Oryctolagus cuniculus: one gene and its partner. The protein of the gene in region 1 interacts with the protein of each later gene in a biochemical or structural test. Links are inferred from orthologs where the notes say so. Each region holds a gene or a part of one and is shown on either strand. Other genes may lie near its edges. The genes, in order: NID1 and FBLN1.

Region 1 (9,556 bases):
AAGCCACAGGGAGTGGACGTCATGGGAAAGAGCACTGAGTAATCAGAAACAAACCAAGTCGGCACCTGCTTGGACAAAAAAAGTCAGCGGCGCTCTCTGTGTGGTTCTAGATCTCGGGAGCCCGGAAGGCATCGCCGTTGACCATCTGGGCCGCAACATCTTCTGGACGGATTCTCAGCTGGACCGGATAGAAGTTGCCAAGCTGGATGGCACCCAGCGCCGGGTGCTGTTCGAGACCGATTTGGTGAACCCCCGAGGCATCGTGACGGATTCCGTGAGAGGGTATCATTGCGTGAATATGTGTGTGCCTCTGTTCCACCCACATCTGCCCTTCCGGATGTTCCCAGATGTGAGGCTCTGACTCCAGTGGTGAAGTAGTACAGGATGGAGGGTGCTATACGTGACTATAGTCAGTAGAACGCGGGGCACGTGTTCCAATGTGGACTTGCGACCATGCCCCGCTTGCACACCTTTTGCCAAGGCTTTGTAAGGTGACAGCTCAGAAGTTGGGTATTTTCCCTATGGATTGAGTACAGATCAACACTCCAGCTGTATAAACCCCCAAAGAGCACCTAGGTGTACCCCTGGGGAGACGTGCCTGTGGGGTTCTTCAGCTCATCCCCACCTTTGTTAGCTTCCCCTCACTGTAGGCTCTGAACCTCACACCCCAGGCCTGCAACTCCTTCATGCTTGGGTTCCTTCCCTTTGGGACTACATCCTCTCATTCTGTGGCCCCTCAGCCAACTCCTCAGGGGCAGACACCTTGACCGCAGCCTCTGCCAGCCTCTGCATCTTACCTCTGTCTGGCCCCCTGCATCTGTTGTGCCCTCTGGACTGGTGGCATAATACAGGGAATTCTCAGCAGTTAAAGGCTTTTGTTTGATTAACAACCCTATTGACATAGCCTATCAGTTATGTTAAAGGGAACTGAATGTGTTAGTAACAGAATAAGCAAATTCCAGGGTCTGCAAGAGAGCTCATGTCACATCATCTGCAGATCATGTATAGCCATTCTGTGTTTTCTTTCTTTCCTTTTCTTTTTTCTTTCTTTCTTTTTTTTTTTTTTTTTTTTTTAGATTTATTTATTTGAAAGGCCGAGTTACAGAGAGGCAGAGAGATAGAGGTCTTCTATCCTCTGGTTCATTCCCAAAATGGCCACAATGGCAGGAGCTGCACCAATCCCACGCCAGGAGCCAGGAGTTTTTTCTGGGTCTCCCACCTGGGTGAAGGGGCCCAAGGACTTGGGCCATCTTCTACTGCTTTCCCAGGCCACAGCAGAGAGCTGGATTGGAAGTAGAGCAGCCGGGACTCAAACCAGTACCCATATGAGATGCTGGCACCGCAGGTGGTGGCTTTACCCACTATGCCACAGCACCAGCCCCCTCCATTCTGTTTTCACATCTGCTCATCTCTTTGGAAAAGAGTTGTTTCATAAACTTTTTCTCATAGGTCTTTCTTATTTCTCTTCCTCTTTCCCCTTCTTTTCGTCCTCCAGGAACCTTTATTGGACAGACTGGAACAGAGACAACCCCAAAATCGAGACTTCCTACATGGACGGCACCAACCGCAGGATTCTTGTGCAGGATGACCTGGGCTTGCCCAACGGGCTGACCTTTGACGCGTTCTCATCTCAGCTCTGCTGGGTGGATGCAGGTGATGGCTTTCCCCTGTCCAGGGAGAGTTCTCCATCTTTGGCAGACTACAGCCTTGGCCAAATCTAACCTGCCACTTACTGTCATGTAACCCAGAAGTTTTATGGGTTTTGCATTTCAAAATGTTACATTTTGTTTTATTTGTTTTTAAAAAATTTATTTATTTATTTGAAAGTCAGAGTTCCACAGAGGGAGAAGGAGAGAGGTCTTCCATCCACTGGTTCACTCCCCAATGGGTCACAACGGCTGGAGCTGTGCAAATCCGAACCCAGGAGCCTCCTCTGGGTCTTCCCATGTGGATGCAGGGGCCCAAGTAGTCAGGCCATCTTCTGCTGCTTTCCCAGGCCATAGCAGAGAGCTGGATTGGAAGTGGAGCAGCCGGGTCTCAAACCGGCACCCATATAGGGTGCCAGTACTGCAGGCAGCAGCTTCACCTGCTACACCACAGTGCCAGCCCCAAAATGTTACATTTTAAGTTGTTGTATAAATACCTGCCTACTGTTCCTGGTTTTGCCTCACAGCCAAAGCTGTCTGACTCCTGTTCTAAGTGGTACCACACAGACCTGTAGACATCCTGATATCTGTTAAGCAATTCACAGCTTACATTTTTCATAGCTCTCTCTGTCCCCCAGAAGCTTAGGCAGGACTTGGAGCCAAGAAAGATAAAGTAAGAGCACCCACAAGCAGTCCCTGCTGTATGCCCCTTCCCTGGCAACTGTGGGGTGTCCCTCAGGCCAGGGATGTGGGCAGAATGCTCAGTCAGGGAGGAACATCTATCTTCTCTCTCCGTAGGAGTCTCTATTGAGTAATATCTGTTCCAGACACTCTGTCAGGTGCCACGTGGGATGCAGAGGCTGTGAGGCACAGTCCCCATCCTGTTAGGACAGAGTGAGGCATGAGCACTTCAGTGAAATCACGGGCCTTAAGATGCAGTCATCATGCAGGCCTTTGATGGAAGCCGGGTGCAGCTGCTCACCAGTGCTGTGGGTTAGCAATCCTTAAAGGCTCTGAATTCATAGAGCAGGAGGGGCTGGAGAAGCTTCAGGAAGGAGGAACTTGGACAAGAGCTGGAAGATGATGTATTTCCTCCCGAGAGAAAGGAGCCTGGGGGTAGGAGCAGACCTAGGCACCAGCTGCTTCCAGACCAGCTGACCTGAGTTGCATTTTCTCTGCCCCAGCCCCCGACTCCCCAGCAGAAGCAGGTGTGGGAGCCAGAGTGGCAGTGGGTATCGATCGTTGAAAGGGGCAAGGCACAGGAGCGAGAGACAGCTCTCCAGTTTTAAGACCAGGCTGCATGTATTCTCTAGGATTTGTCACTGTAATACCAAATTTCTCCCGCCTCTGCCCCTGGCACCCTCCAGTTGTGACACAAAGGGCCCACTTCTGGTGCGAACAATGAGGGACTTGTCTTTGCTGCACACAGGCACCAACCGGGCAGAGTGCCTGCACCCCAGTCAGCCAAGCAGACGCAAGGTCCTCGAAGGGCTCCAGTATCCTTTTGCTGTGACGAGCTACGGGAAGAATCTGTTCTACACAGACTGGAAGACGTAAGTTGGCTGCTGCTGAGGCTGGGCGGGCCTGTACTCCACTCTGTCTCTGGGAAGCCAGGCCCTTTCCTCTGGCCCCTTGTCTTGACCTTGACACGAAGAGATGTCCTTTCTTCCTCACCCTTGGGCTGTCAGGATGCAGGTGGGGGTGGAGGAGAAGGGAAGCAGGAGGTGCCCCTTGTCATCTGGATGCTCCTGGCAGGGCAGTTTCAAGTCTGTGAACTTGGACTTCCTGAGCACGTCTGTCCCTTCCCCCCATGTCCACTCATGCCTGTTTATGGTTCTTAAACCGCAATGTTCCCACAGCCCCTTGTTGACCACCCTTTCTGCAAAAGGAGGGGTGAAACTGAGGAGGCAGCTGGCCAAGGGCTCTGAAGAGAAAGCCCGTTTCCTGCCTGGAATTTAGAGAGGGAGGAGACAGCTGGCTGACCATCACCTTTCTTTAGGAAGCCAGAGAAATGCAGGCCTGATGCACCCCAGGAGGGAGGGATGTCTCAGGAGCAAGGCCACCATATCTGCTTATGGCCTCCAGTTTATACCCAAAACTGCAAAAAAGTCACTCCCTGGAGAAAGGTTCAAACCATCAGATGTACTTCTGAGCTCCTGACTTTTGTGCTCTGTAGGAATTCTGTGGTGGCTGTCGATCTGGCTGTTTCCAAAGAGACGGATTCCTTCCACCCCCACAAGCAGACCCGGCTGTATGGCATCACCACGGCCCTGTCTCAGTGTCCCCAAGGTAACTCGCCTGTACTGTTACTCCCCATACTCCTGGGGGCAACCTGATGATATAGAGTCCATGCTGTGGCTGCTGCCGGTATAACTGCTAGCCATCCTGTCTCTCAAGGATCTTCATTACTGAGTACATGAGCCAGGTGAATACATAGAACACACCCAGGCCTGAAGTAGACAGAGATAAAGTACTGAGTCTTGGACTGGGTCTAGAAGTATACAGTCTTCAGGTTCCAAATGGAACATTAATGTTCAGATCTCTGCTGATTTAAAGTCCATATATTTGGCCAAACAGTGATAACAATAACTAATAAAAATAATTTCAAGTATATGTTTGGCATTTACTGAGAGCTAGTAAGTTGGCATAGATCAACTCGCTTTGTATTCGTAGTTCATTTCATCCTCACAGCAGCCCTATGAGGTGGGCACTGCTGTGCTCATTTTATAAATGAGGAAATGGAAACAAGTTCAAAGTCGCACCTCTCATGGTGCCAGCCTGGCTCCAGAGTCCATACCATGCTGCCTCTCAAAGGCCTCTCCGCTTCTCTACTTTTCTCCTTCTCCCCGTTAGAGTGAAACCAGGAGTGTAAGTAGATAGAAAGTGCTCTATGCTTTAAGAGTCTGCCTCCATGTTCTAATGAGAGCTGGAGAACCCTCCCTGAGATCTGTTTTATAGCTTTAGTGGTAAGTTTGTATAGCCCCCAAATTGAGAATCAGCGTTTTTGCCTGTCTGGTTTAACAAACAACGGATTAGCTTAGCTGTTCTCTGTTCCCCTGGAATGGGCCACAATTTTGGCCTCTCAGAAAATGAAGTAAGGTTAATACGGTGTCCTGTCTCTCAGTGGCTGTTGAGTCAGGTCAGAGAAGGCTGTTGAACTGATTTCTGCCTTTTGCAGGCCACAACTACTGCTCTGTGAACAACGGCGGCTGCACTCACCTCTGCTTGGCCACTCCAGGTAGCAGGACCTGCCGTTGTCCTGACAACACCATGGGAGTGGACTGTATTGAGCGGAAATGAAGACAAGACTGCCGTGTTTCCTCTCCAAGTATTTCACAGGAGCATCCTACTTGAATCTACTTGGTCCAGACTGAAAAACTGTCCTCTGCCTGAGTGACCACTAGGTTCAGGCCCATCCCAGCCTGAGCCCCAACAACTTTCCCCCCACTATTCCCCACAACATACACTTCTTTAATGGGAAAGTTTCTCCCCCTGTATGAGGACAGAATTCCCACCCTGGCCCAACTCCAGATAAGCTTATACAAGCCTGGGTGATGATTACCTACCCCATCCCAGTTCCCTGGACCTTTCCCAAAACCTAGTCTCTCTCCCAGTGGTGAGTAGAACCAGCCAAGGCCTAAGTCATCCCCCTCTTTGTGGCCTTAAAAGCTCAGCCTCATTCTGAGGTACCTACCATCCTATCAGCTGCTTAACACACCAGCCTGGGTCTGCCTAGGTGAGGTTGTGAGTGAAGGAGGGAGTTAGCCCTCCCTTACTTTTTCTCTTGGTGCTCTGATTTCCCTCTTTATATTCCCATTTTTTTATTCCCTAGTTCCTCATCACCTTCATTCCAAGGCCCTCATTGTAATGACCATGTTCTGCCTTTTGATGAGAAATTACCCATCCTAGAGGATATATGGGTACTTTGTGGATGATAATGAGCATCCTTTTCCAGATGAGGTATTGGCATTTCAGTAGTAGCCTTTGATACTCAAAGGCTTAAGTCAAAGGAGTATCCTATGATAGGAATTTCAAAGTGTAGAGTCAGATGTTTGAGGATGAGGAATTATTTTGATGTGCCTTAAATTATACCAGAGATTACCAAAGTCATCCTGTTTTCCCAAAGCTCCTGTATTCCAGCATGTGGTCTCTGGTGCTGTGTTGGTCTTCACCTTCATTGCTAGCACTGAAGTCCACTCTCCTCATGGAGATTTGTCTGAGGTCTGAGACAGACACAGTTTAGAGCTGGTACAAGGTGATGACTTAACCAGTTCATCAGTTTTTGTCTTTGCTCCAGAGAACCAATTTATAAATAACCATGAATCTGCTTATCCTTTTGTTCTCCATCTTTGAACTTTAGTGGCTAAATGTGCATCTAAAGACACAGTATAGGAAGAGCAAATTGAATAATTATCTTAATGGTCCAGACTCTTTATTGCTCGTTTGTCTAATTAAAGGGACCACTGCTACATTTCATATTTATGTTTTTACAATTTGTTTAGAGAACCTCTTCCATTAGTAGCTAGTGTTGTCTTTTGTCAACTGCTTCCCAGAGTCCTAAAGCAATAGAAATTTTGGACTGAAAGTTGAGCATAAGGTGTTTGAGTCAATAAAGGATGGGATAAGGGAGTACAGAAGACTCAAAGTGTCATGAAGAGATTATCCAAGAGCAGGAATGGAAAGCCCAAGAGAAATGGGTGAGGGGAGGGGATTTATGAATGGCAATTAAAAAAAAACCTTAAATAACTACACAGAGAAAATAACACATTTTGCCAAAGAACACTTATACTTGAGAACATAGAAAAAATTTTCCTGAAATTCTCCTTGGACAAGAGATCCCTCCCCATTTCTTCAAATCCCAGTGTACTCAATGCCTCCACCTACATACCCTCCTACCATTGTCCTCACTTGCTTGTGCAGCACATTGGAAACTAAGTTGGGAGAAAGTGTTTCCTTAAATGATTGGAGTTTGTCTTCAGAGTCAATTTTGTCCCCAACAATCATAAGCTTTGGGGAACATCTGAGTCTTTTATATAGTGCAACCTCATAAATTACTCTTTCTTCTTGTATTTATCATTCCATATCAAGCCTTCTGTATCAAATGTTCATCATGATTTTATAAGTTTTATAACTATTTTATTCACTTTACTAGATTCATTCTAAAAGTTTTTAAATGGTAAATTCCTAAACTGTGGAAACCTCTGAAGGTGCTTAATAACTGTTGCCCCAGATTTATACAAATATTTGATGATTCCTTGAGTTTATCACCATACAAATACTTGTACATGAAATAAAAAAAACTTTTGTTAAAAAAATCTTTATCTTTTTTGAGTTAAGAGATTTGATGTTGATAGGGTAATTCATGGCAGACATACAGCCAGGGTCCAGTGTTGTGGCACAGTAGGTTAAGAGGCCACCTGCAGTGCCAACATCCCATATGGGTGCTGGTTTGAGTCCCAGCTGCTCCACCTCTGATCCATCTACCTGCTAATGTGCCTGGGAAAGCAATGGAAGATGGCCCAATTATTTGGACCCCTGCCACTCACATAGAAAACCCAGATGGAATTCCAAGCTCTTGACTTCAGCTGGGGTGGCCATTTCAGGATTGAACCAGCTGATGGGAAATCCTTCTTTCTGTAACTCTTCGTTTCAAATATGTAAGTAAATCCTTTTTTTAAAAGCCATTTAATAGGCTTCAAAAACCTAAAGATTCAGAAAGTCTTACTCCACTGTTATAACAGGTGATATATTTTGTGAACACAAGTTTACAAAAGATTTACGGGATTGTAATTGACTTAAAATTAATGATGTCACAGATACCAAACCACCCTTTTGGACATTGCATTCATTTTTTTTTTTTTTTGGAAAAATGTATTCTAGTTACAAGCAATACAGAGGTTCCAAATTCAGCTCTTAAGATGAGCTATGGAGCCGGCGCCGTGGCTCAATAGGCTAATCCTCCGCCTTGCGGCGCCGGCACACCGGGTTCTAGTCCTGGTTGGGGCGCCGGATTCTGTCCTGGTTGCCCCTCTTCCAGGCCAGCTCTCTGCTATGGCCAGGGAGTGCAGTGGAGGATGGCCCAGGTGCTTGGGCCCTGCACCCCATGGGAGACCAGGAAAAGCACCTGGATCCTGGCTCCTGCCATCGGATCAGCGCGGTGCGCCGGCTGCAGCGGCGGCCATTGGAGGGTGAACCAACGGCAAAGGAAGACCTTTCTCTCTCTGTCTCTCTCTCTCACTGTCCACTCTGCCTGTCAAAAATTAAAAAAAAAAAAAAAAATAAATAAATAAAGAAAGAAAAAAGAAAGATGAGCTATGTATTTTATCCCCCTCCTCACTTTTGACCATCAAGTGAGACCATTGATAGGCATCACCATCCATGCCAGTCCATGAGTGGGATGAGAATGGCAACTGACTTGGACAGAGCGGAAGGAGCTTGAAGTTGTAGGAACGAGGCGCCCAGAGCTCAGTTGTAACAGAAGGAAACTGGTACTTCGGCTTCCCCGTGAAAGATGCAATTGACAGAATCAGCATGCAGCCTGCCAGTATGAGTTGGGTGGAAGGGAAAATTTTTATTGGGACTAAAATTCCCAGAGTTCTGGTCAAAAAAATCTAGGTACCTAAAGATGACATCAGGAAAGATGGTGGAGTAGGAAGTGCCAAGAATCAAACCCTTTATCCAAATAGCGATTGAACTGACAGGGGCTGACTGAGCCAGCTATTTTGGAAGTCTGGTTTTAGCAGACCCATTGCAGCACCAGCAGAGAGCTTAGAAGAAGCTAGTAAGCCTGAGTCAATTTTAGTACTTTTTTTTTTTTTTTTTGACAGAGTGGACAGAGAGAGAGAGAAAGGTCTTCCTTTGCCCTTGGTTCACCCTCCAATGGCCACCGTGGCTGGCGCGGTGCGGCCGGCGCACCACGCTGATCTGATGACAGGAGCCAGGTACTTATCCTGGTCTCCCATGGGGTGCAGGGCCCAAGCACTTGGGCCATCCTCCACTGCACTCCCAGGCCACAGCAGAGAGCTGGCCTGGAAGAGGGGCAACCAGGACAGAATCCGGCGCCCCGACCGGGACTAGAACCCGGTGTGCCAGTGCTGCAAGGTGGAGGATTAGCCTGTTGAGCCGCGGCACCGGCAATTTTAGTTCTTTCTTATAAGTGGCTACTATGCCCCATCAGGCAGCCACATTCCTGGTGTGCCTTGCTGGAGCCAGAGTGGATAGTCAGACTTTGTTCTCCAAAACTCAGATTTATTGGTCTGATTACCAGTTGCTGCTTTTGATCGTTGATGGGCCAGCACATAATAAAATCTTCATGACACTGGATTTAGCAATGATTTCTTGGGAATAATACCAATAGCACAAGCAATAGAAGAAAAATAGGTAAATAGGACTTAAAAAGATTTGTGCATCAAAGGATACTATCAACAGAATAAAAAGACAACAATTTGGAGAAAATACCTTCAAATCTTACATCTCTTATGACATCCAGAATATTCAAAGAACTCCCTCCTGCCACTTAACAACAAGCCATTCCAAAATAAGTAAAGCGTGGGCACTCTGGCATAAGTGGTAAGCTGCCACCTGCAATGCTGGCATCCTATATGGGTGCCAGTTCCAGTCTCAGCTGCTCTACTTCCAATCCAGCTCTTTGCCATGGCCTGGGAAAGCAGTAGAGGATGGCCCAAGTCCTTGGGCCCCTGCACCCACGTGTGAGACCCAGAAGAAGCTTCTGGCTCCTGGCTTTGGATCAGCGCAGCTCTGGCTGTTGTGGCCATCTGGGTATGAAGCAGTGGATGGAAGACCTCTCTCTCTACCTCTGCCTCTCTGTAACTCTGCCTTTCAAGTAAATAAATAAATTTTTTTAAAAAAATAAGTGATTAGAATAAATGTATTTCCAAAGGAGAATTACA
Region 2 (9,821 bases), on another chromosome or scaffold:
AGAGAACAGCCCTCGGGTGTCAAGGCTGACCTCTCCAGCTCTCGGAGCCCTGTTTGTTATCAGCAAAGAGCGAGCTGCTGTCCGCCCCTCCGAGATGGGAAAAAGCTGGGCTGTCACTGCGGGATCTAACGAATGACTTCCTGCTCGGAGCAGATTCCAGAAGGCGCAGAAACAGGCGGGCAGGGCGGAGGGCCCTCCCGGCCCCTAATTCCTCACATGGAACCTCTCCAAAGCAAACCACAAGCAAATGTGCTGCTCAGTAAGCGTCTAGATTCTTCCATGAGGACCCAGAGGAAAACGATCGGGACGCACTGCTGGAAACCACCTTGTCTCTCCCCTGATGCGACGGTGCCCTGTCCAGGGGGTCAAGAAACAGGAACCACACACGTGATCATAATCTGACTTTGGCTTTGGTTGCCAAGAACCCGGGGTCCAGTTCAGCTGCGGGGACCACGTCCTGCCAGGTTTCTCACACTCTGATTTCTCCTGTCTCAATCTTTCCCTAAAAAAAAAACCAAATTTTCACAGTCAAGCGTCCAGTTTCGTTTAGTTTCCTTTCGCTCTTTCGCTCCACAAACACAGCTTTTACGTAGCTGCATTCTGCTCACACTCGACTTTTTCTGTTTTTTTTTTTTTTTCATAATATTACATAATATTAGCTCATAAATACCATGTTTCTACTTAGGTATTCTTTTTGCCTTTTTTTTTTTTTTTTGAAGATTTATTTGAGAGGCAAAGTTACAGACAGAGAGAAGGAGAGACAGAGAGAATCTTCCATCTGCTGGTTCACGCCTCAAATGCCCACAACAGCCTGGGCTGAGCCAGGCCAAAGCCAGGAGCCAGGAGCTTCTTCTGGGTCTCCCGTGTGGGTGCAGGGGCCCAGGTACTTGGACCCTCTTCCACTGCTTTCCCAGACGGTGGCAGAGAGCTGGATCGGAAGTGGAGCAGCCGGGACTAGAGCCAGCCAGCGCTGCAGACAGAGGCTTAGCCTACCGCACCACAGTGCCGGCCCTTCTTCTCTGCCTTTTCGATAGGGACATACTCTCCATCAGGTCACTGAATACCAGTTTAATGGAAGCCAATGGCACAGACTGTAAATGGGCTGCTGTCGGACACCGCACTTTTCCCAGATTTTCACTGTCGTAAATAATTCTGCTGTTGCAAAAATAAATGAGAAGTTACGAAAGAGGCACAGCGTGGCTAACATGCGTACATAGAACGTTCCGCCACTGCTGAGAACACACTGGGAAAGCGGACAGTGGCGGAAGGGCCCGGGCCGCCAAGGATGCATCGGGGCGGCTGCACATTCGCCATCCTCTGGGTGCCGCCAGGGCTCCTGCACGGCTTCGGGGCCAGAAGAGCAGATTCGGGCGAGCTGGGAGCATGCGTGATTTATGCCTGTGCCAAAGTCAAACAATGTCCCAGCAGGGGAGGGTAGCCGAGTGGCCGTGCGTCCACGCATGTGTGTGCGACCTCAGGTCCTCACCGGACAAAGAGCTGCCTGTGACGTCCAGAGAAACAGACCCTTCCACACAAGCGGCCCAGGGACGAGCCAGGGTGGGAAACCCGGTGGCCAGGCTGCCAATCTCCAGCGCTGAGGCTCCTGGGTCAGGGACCTGGCACTTGGTTACTCCTGGACACCAGCACCAGGTGCCCCTGTCTCCCAAGAGCCCCCGGAGCGGGGGACAGGACACATGAGGGTGTCTACACACGCGAGGGGCTGCATTACCCAGGACTTTCATTGCTTCGTTTTGTTTTTAAGATTTATTTACTCATTTGAAAGTCAGGGCGACAGAGATGGGAAGGCAGGGAGGAGACGGGGGGGAGGGGATCTTCTATCTGCTGATTCATTCTCCATAGTTGGGCCAGGCCAAAGCCAGGAGCCAGGAACTCCATCCTGGCCTCCTATGGGGGTGTCAGGGGCCCAAGTTCTTGGGCCAGCATCCACTGCCTTCCGAGGCACGTTAGCAGGGAGCTGGACCTGCAGCAGCACGGCCACGACTCAACCAGCACTCAGATAGGGGACGCCAGTGTCACAGCAGCCACGTCACAGCCCCCAGCCCCCGAGGCTTCCGTCTAAGCACAGGCAGGAAGGACGGACAGGGCGCTGACGTCCAGCGCCCAGGGTGGTCGCCTCTGGGTGTAGCTCGGTGGGAAGAGCCTCAGGTTCCTGACTTTCCCGTAACTCCGAGTGTGCCTGGGGGAAGGAGGCCTCGAATGAGCCGGGCCGGGGTCTGGGGAGGTATCCGGGCACCCCGTTCATTGTGCAGACAGGGAAACTGAGGCCACAAAGATTCGTCCTACAGAGCAAGGCGGGGCCAGGGCTGCTCCCCTCCTCCGGCCCTGAGGGTGCCCCGCTTTTACCTCCACCAGCCCCAGCGGCTGCCAGCGAGGTCAGTGGGTGGTGACCCCTCCACAGGAGTCATCTTGGATTCTCACAGTCACAGAGGCCCCATCGCTGGCCACCTTAGAGGATGCCAACCGGCCACACAGCAGGAAGTGGCACAGCCTGGACGGGAACCAGGTGGGTGGGCTCGACCTCAGAGTCTGACTCTTCCCCACTCTCTCAGATGTGCCCATGGGTGCCCGTGTTCCCGACCCTTGGTGGCCGAGGGACAGGGACATCTGGTGGGGCTGTGGGTGGTGAGTGCGGGACCAGTGGCTGGGTCCCGCCCTTCTCAGCTGCAGGCTGGCGCGCGGGGAGTCAGTCCCCAGGGCTGTGCTGGTGCCATCTTCGCACTCAAATGCAGGCATGAGTGGCAGGCACCTCAGCTACTCCGTTTCCTTCCCCCGATGTCTTCTCAGCTACCCACGGCGGATGCTCCCTCCCCAGCCTCACAAAGGGACCCTGCAGATGACCAGTGTCACCTGCTGCAGCCCCCATGGCCCCTGGCAGGCGTGGCCTCGTGGCCAGGGGGTCACCTGGGCAGCGCCGGGCAGTCATTGGACCCCTCTGGGTTATCCGTCTCTGGATCTCCTCCTGTCTTCTTTCTCAGTCACCTCCCCCTCCCCTCATACCAAGTTAAGACCCCAAAGTACTAACGCATTTCCACTCTGTGCAGCCCAGGGCCCTGGCTCCCCACAGCACGGGCTGTGTGCGCCCAGGTACCCCAGGCCACCCCTGCTCAGGACGCACGGCTCGTCTTCCTGAGCTGCCTGGGGCCTCTGAGCCTCTGCAGGGGCCGATCCCTGGGCCCTTCACCCCTTTCCACCCCTTTCCCCACAAGGGCCAGTCCCAGAGGCCTCTCTCACAAGCTGTCCTGGGCTCCCGGCAAACCTCAGACCTCCGAGGCACCCTGTGTGGAAGAGATGTGGGTTTTGATTGGAACCCAACGCTCACTTGGGAAAGAGCACACGGAAACAGCTCGGTGCACCCGACCTCGGAACCACGCCCCAGTGAAATCACCGGAAAGTGCCCTCAGCCTCCCTCCAGCCCCGGGGGCCACCCCAGGAGCACCCTCTCCCGCCCTCTGACCTGTTCCTGTCCCATATGGAAGGGGATCCTGCAGCCAATGCCCTGGTGGCTGGCCCGGGACGGCGCCTGCTCCAGGGGTCACGGGGCTCCACACGTGTGCGCACTCTGCCGGGAAGCCTTGGTGGATGTCGGCTGTAACCAAAGCCGTGCACTTCTGCTAGGCAGAAACCCGTGAGGGGAGGTGCTGGCTCCTGGGACCCAGTCCACGAAGTGGCTGTGGTCTCACCCCTCGCTCCCACCTTCACCTGCCCCAGGGCCCGCCTCCCCCACCCCACCCCCATTTGAAAAAATAAATCTGCTTGTGATCCCAACAGACCAGCCCACCCTCAGTCACCCCGGCCCAGCTGCAGCCCCGATTCCAGCACGAAGCGGGTGCTGCAGGCCCAGCCAAGGCTGCCTCCTCGGCTTCCCGGGTCCAAGCGTGCCCGGCTCATTCTGCCGCCTGGCCGGCTGGCAGCGCCCCAGACCCCGGGGCCGGCGGCGAAGGCCGGAACGGAGCAGAAGGGGTGGGGTGCGGGGCTCGTCCGCGGGAGCCCCGAGCGGGCTGCACCCTCGGCCGCGCTCCAAAGGCGCCGAGTCCGATCCCGAGCCCGCGCCCGGCCCGCGGGGGCCGAGGGGATCGGGTTTCACGCGCGCGGAGGGGGGCGGGTGGAGGCGCATCCGGCCCGAAGGCGCCCCCGTCTCTGCCCCTCCAGGGAAGCCCGGGGCCCGGAGCGGGAGAGGGGAGGGTCCCGCCGGCCCCGCCTCCGCCGCGCCCTCCTCCCGGGCGGGATAATTGAACGGCGCGCCCGGGCCCGGCGTTGGCTGCCGAGCCTCGGCCCGAGCGTGGAGCGCGCGCCGCACGCCGCGCCCGCCGAGCCAGGAGCCGCCCGCGCCTTTGTCCCTGCCGGCCCCATGGAGCGCGCCGCGCCGTCGCGCCGGCTCCCGCTGCCGCTGCTGCTGCTCGGCGGCCTCTCGCTGCTGGCGGCCCGAGGTAGGGCGTCCCCGCCACCGCCCCGCGCCGGGGGGTAGTCGTGGAGAGGCCGGGGTCGGGCCGGTGCGCTCCCCGGGACCGTCGTCGTGCGGTCCCCTGAGCAGCGGGGCTGCCCAGACCCGGGCGACGTCTCCGGGCCTCCCCCAACTCCCGGCCCAGCCCGAATGCCGGCCTGTCTGGGGGGGTTGCTTCCAAGGCGGGACCCCTCCCACGCCCGCGCTCCGGCCTCAGCCCCCGCAGATGGAGCCGGCTCCGAGGGCCCTTCCCGGGCCTTGGCGATGGGGGCGCTGGCTGCGGGTTACCGAGCCCCCCGCCTTGCACTGGGAGCCTCCTTAGTGTGTCTTTCAGTGCCCCAGCTTGCGAATGGGGAACGGACCCCGGTGGGGAGCCGTCGGGTAAGGGGGTTGGGGGAGGCTGCAGACCCGGGCCCTCCTCTCTGCCTGCCCTCCTGCCCACCAGGCCCCACGCTTCGCTAGGACTTGGCTTAGGCGGCTTCCAGACCTACCCACTGTGTGACAAGGGGGGGATGGAGCCCCCTGCAGCAGGTCCCGGCCCAGAATTCCCTCCCCAGCCCCCCAGGCTGACAGCATGGGGTTGGTGGCCACCCAGGCTGCGCCCTTCTGGCTCCTGGGTTCAGAGGTCCGGTGGATCAGAGCCGCTTGGGGGGCGGGGGAGCCATGACCTGCGACCTCTCTGCTGACCCCATGGCTTCCTGGGGCCGGCAGTCAGGCCTGGCCCTGCTGGAGTGTTTGTTTCTCCCCAGGGCCAGGGCAGCTTCTTTATGCCTTGTTTAGTTTCTTTTGAAGTCGCTAGTGTTCACAGGCCTCCTTGGTCGGAAGGTCGCGGCTGAGGAGGGGGCTGGGCTGTGGCGGCGGCCTCTGGGGCTGATAGCTGTTCTGGGCGCTGGCTGTGTCCTGGGCCACTTCTCCAGCTTGGAGGTGGCTTGGGGAGGCACAGGGCTCCCAGGAGGCCTCTTGGGCAGGCCTGCAGGTGGTCCGGCAGGAGAGACCTCCCAAAGGGGCTTGGGAGTGGGGGGCACCCGGAGAGGAAGGGGGCGTCCAGAGAGAAGGCTGAGTTCAACTCTCAGGGGACTTGGAGACCCCAAGCCCCTCCCCTCCCCCACATTCTTTTGTGCCTGATAACTTTGTCCCTGTGCTTTGAAGGAGCACCGTAAGGGCATACAAAGTGTCCTCCATGAAGTCTGGGTGGTCCCATGGTCCTGTGTTTGGGGAGCACCCTCTTGGAGTTTGTTTGCGCGGTCTGGTCTGGGGAGAGGGGGTTAAAAGACAGCCTGGCTGCTCTCCGCTGCTGCAGGCCGGGCCGGGCGCCTGGCAGCCAAGGCCCCTGCAGCCCTGCAGGGTCGTAGGTGGCACAGCCCTGCACCCTGGAGAGCTGCGGGGTACACAGGGAAACCACACTTTGACCGCAGCCGTGAAGGCGAGCCGATGGAGAGCGCCGGAGCCACTGTGCTGACAGGCCCTTGGCGAGGGCCACCTGGCCACTGGCGGGCCGCGGGGCACGGCGGAGCCGCCTGTCTGTCCTCTGTCTGTCTGCCCTGTTGGGCTTTACCCAGAGCTGGGGCGGGAGGCGGGGGCGGGGAGGAGCAGGGGTCGGGCGGACGAGTGTGTTTTCTCCAAGACTTTCTTGGCCTCTGGTTTCGACTGATTAAAAGAAAAGTCGCGCCGGGAGGGAGAACAAAGGCTAGAGAGAACTTGGCTTACAAACATGTGGCCTGGGCCGCTGCCCTTCTGGAAGGTTCCCAGCTGGGAGGTGGGGCCCAGAGCTCTGAACGCTTGAAGGACCAGACTGGGGGGCACCAGGGAGGGCTCCCCTGCTGGGCCCAGGGCTGATGGCCCCCTCCCCCAGCACAGCTGCCTTTGCCTCCCCCAAGGACTGGTGGGAGGGAGCTGGGGATGAGGGGGCAGCTCAGGCTCAGGTCCCAGCAGGGTGCCATGAGTGGGTGCGCCAGCCTCATCCACAGTGGTCTGGTGGTTTTCTCCATGGCCTGGTGGGGGCGGCCACACCTCCCGGTAGGACGGAGGGAGAGCGCTCGGAGCTGGAGCTGTCTGCTGCGTGCACAGGGTCCCCTCTCCCAGGGCCGGGACAGAGCCAGCGTCCCGGACTCAGCTGCAAATCCCAATACTGGGCTTCCCCAGCCGGACGCTTCCTGGGAAGGAGACCGCAGAGCCAGCAGCTTCCGAGTGCCAGTCTCGGGTTGGCACCGGTCCTGCCACCCGGTCCTGCTGAGTGGTGTCTTTGGGCCTTCGGTCATTGGTTTGCTCAGCGTCGGCTCTGGGTCTTGGGGAGACCCAGCTCTGCCACCCCGTGCCGCTCGGGCTCCCAGATGAACCAGAAAAAGGAGCCCAGCCCTCCTGGCAGAGTCTGGAAGGACTTCCTGGAGGAGGTAGATGCACCCCGGGGCCTCAAGGAGGAGAGGCATGGGCAGGGACTCCAGGAGGCGTAGCCCCTCCCCACGGCTGGGAAAGACCCCTGCCCGCCCGGTACTCCCCGAAGGCCAGCCTCTTAGCCGTGGGCACGGTGGGCAGGGCAGCGTTACAGGTCAAGTGTTATGAAAACAGCTCTAACAGACACCTCAGAGTTTTGCCAGTGGATTTTGTACAATAAAAGGCTTTCCTTTTGCAAAATATAAAACTGTAGCAATTTGATTAATAGATGCTCTTGCAGTCCCCGGATGGCGCCAGTTTCTAGGCGATGATTTCAGATGTGGCCACACAGCAGATCCGGGGTGGAGGAGGAGGACAGGAGCCTGTTGTGGACTGGCCTGGGATCAGAGGCTGGGAGCCTGCTGAGGTCGTCTGCCCCAAGTCCGCCACATCCGGGAGCGGATAGGGCTGGCCGCCCCCACCCGCCCTTAATCCTTGGGTTCTAACTCCAGGGTGGGTCAGGAGGGTGGGGTACCTGCTGCTCCAGCTGCGCGCTGGAGGGTCCTGCTTTGTGGGGACCGGCATTCGGTGGGGCTGTTTAGGAGACCGGTGCCCCGGTGCCAGCTCTGGAAGCTCTTTGCCCGGCTCCCGTGACCCTCTGCGTCCATTTCCTTTGTGTGAGTTGAGGGCGGCTTTGCTCTGGGCGACTCTCCTAGCTGGACTGCTTCACGTTTAGTCTCCAATGGATCCTCCCCACAGCCCTGCTACCTCAGAGGTCCAGTACTTTTCCTTTTGGGTCTCGTCCCCGGCTGGAGTGAGACTAGATGTGCACTTTGCTACCCAGTGGCTACTGGCTGTGGCCTGTGGCTTCCCTCCGGATGCACTGGGTGCTGCTCCTGTGAGCTACTGGGGTGGGAGCGGAAACCCCGCACCTGTCGCTTTGCACCTGCGCCCCACCTGTGCTGCCTCCCTGCGCCCTGAAGGCAACCCTGGAGGGAGGCACTGCCCTTACCTGTATATATTTAAAGATTTATTTATTTATTTGAAAGGCCGAGTTGTACAGAGGCAGAGGCAGAGAGACAGAGGTCTTACCGAACCACTGGATCACTCCCCACAACAGCTGGAGCTGAGCCGATCTGAAGCCAGGAGCCAGGAGCTTCTTCCGGGTCTCCCATGCCGGTGCAGGGGCCCAGGGACTTGGGCCATCTTCTACTGTTTTCCCAGGCCATAGCAGAGAGCTGGATTGGAAGAGGAGCAGCCAGGACTTGAACCGGCACCCATAGGGGATGCCGGCACTGCAGGTGGTGGCTTTACCCACTAAGCCACAACACCAGCCCCTCTGGAGTTTAATAACAGGCAGGGGTGTGAACTCTTAAGCCAGGGTTGGATCTGAAGCTCCTCTGGTTTGGTGCTGTGGCCTCTGGGGAGTTGCTGCTGCTGTCTGCCCCTAATTGAGCACACGATTTCATTTGCTCATTCATTCATTCACACACAGTGATCGACGGCTCAGGGGCAGACATGGGCAGGGTGCAGGAGACAGAGCCCATCCCAGCCCTCGTGGCGCCAACTAGAGTTAATTATTTGTGTGCAATTCAGGGAACAAAGGAATCGGCTCTGTCGTGTGTGTGTGTGTGTGTGTGTGTGTGTGTGTGTGTTGGGGGGTGGTCAGGGAGGACCTCTTGGAGAAGGCGAGCTTTGCACCGGTGTGGTGGTCTGAGGACAGGAGCTGGCCAGGGACTACCTGGCCTGCCCAGCGCTGTCATCGAAGGCCAGGCATGGAGGGTGCAGGTGCAGTGGCCAGAGGGAAGCTGCAGAGGTGTCAGGGTGAGGGCAGCCTGTGAGTGCACTGCCTGGGGGGGAGCCAGATGCTTCCCCCCTCCCCCCAGACGTGCCTAGTGCCTCCCTCTGCGCCAGACCCCCAGACCCCCGTCTCTGTGATGGACGCTGGGAGCGCTCTCAGGACTGGTGCCTGGGGGCGTGTGAGCTCCTGGGGAGGCTGGCAGGCTGGGGGCGGCGTGGAGCGGGGGTCCGTTCACCTCCTGGGCCTGCACGGATGCAGAGGCACTGGGACGACCACGCTGGGCCCCTTCTGGCTTCCCAGGCCCGGGTAGGGCGGCCTGAGTCTTGCCCAGTCCCGTCTCATTGGCGTTTCCTGTCCGGCTCTGTGGCTGGTGAGGAGCTGCCCTTCAGGCCTCACCGTCCATGGGTCCTGGGCGGGGTGGGGGTGTTTCTTTCCAGGAGGGGGGTGGGGGCTGTGGGCCGCGCGCATCACATCAGGTGCGCTGACTCTGCGGGAAGGAATGCCCTGGCCCTGACGTGAGGACTTCTCCGATTTTGAAGATTCCGTTTTTCTCTGCTGATTCCAGCATTTTCCCTGGCTGACCTCATTCGTCTTCCCAGCCCCGCGGCAGGCACTGTTAGCACCTGCACTGTGCAGGTGGAGACAGAGGGAGGCTCGGAGAAGTCCCGTGGGCGCCGAGCCGGAGCCAGGCTCGAGGCCGGGCCGTCTGCCTGAGTGTGGCCTCGGGTTTGTGCCGAGTTTTATGCTTGTGGATTGTGCCACAGACCGACGTGGGTGATTGCGGTTTCTTCCCAAAACAGATCAGCCCTGGACCCCACTTTCTTCCTCTCTTTTTTTTTTTTTTTTTGCAGATTTATTTATTTATTTGAAAGGCAGAGAGGCAGAGGCAGAAAGAGAGAGGTCTTCCATCCGCTGGTTCACTCCCCAGATGGCCACAATGGCCGGAGCTGAGCCCATCTGAAGCCAGGAGCTTCTTCCAGGTCTTCCACGTGGGTGGAAGGACTTGGGCCATCTTCCACTGCCGGGAAGTGGAGCAGCCGGGACTCGAACCAGCGCCCATATAGGATGCCAGCTCTGCAGGTGGCAGCTTTATCCACTATGTCATAGCACCACCTGCCCCCCCTTTTAATTAGATTTATTTGAAAGGCAGAGTTACAAAGAAGCAGAGGCGAGAGAGGCCCCACTTTC

Evidence for each region.
Region 2: the proteins of NID1 (region 1) and FBLN1 form a complex in vitro, tested with the Homo sapiens proteins (3 studies listed by BioGRID). The link is inferred for Oryctolagus cuniculus from reciprocal best matches to the Homo sapiens genes NID1 and FBLN1.

Annotation. Positions count from the first base shown.
Region 1 is NC_091444.1:55,267,748-55,277,303, reverse strand, and holds the end of NID1 (nidogen-1), read left to right. Parts: intron 1-110; coding exon 111-282; intron 283-1,495; coding exon 1,496-1,653; intron 1,654-3,075; coding exon 3,076-3,199; intron 3,200-3,822; coding exon 3,823-3,935; intron 3,936-4,824; coding exon 4,825-4,946; 3' UTR 4,947-6,961; downstream 6,962-9,556. UniProt on the Homo sapiens protein: Sulfated glycoprotein widely distributed in basement membranes and tightly associated with laminin. Also binds to collagen IV and perlecan. It probably has a role in cell-extracellular matrix interactions.
Region 2 is NC_091442.1:120,185,331-120,195,151, forward strand, and holds the start of FBLN1 (fibulin-1), read left to right. Parts: upstream 1-3,786; 5' UTR 3,787-4,369; coding exon 4,370-4,448; intron 4,449-9,821. UniProt on the Homo sapiens protein: Incorporated into fibronectin-containing matrix fibers. May play a role in cell adhesion and migration along protein fibers within the extracellular matrix (ECM).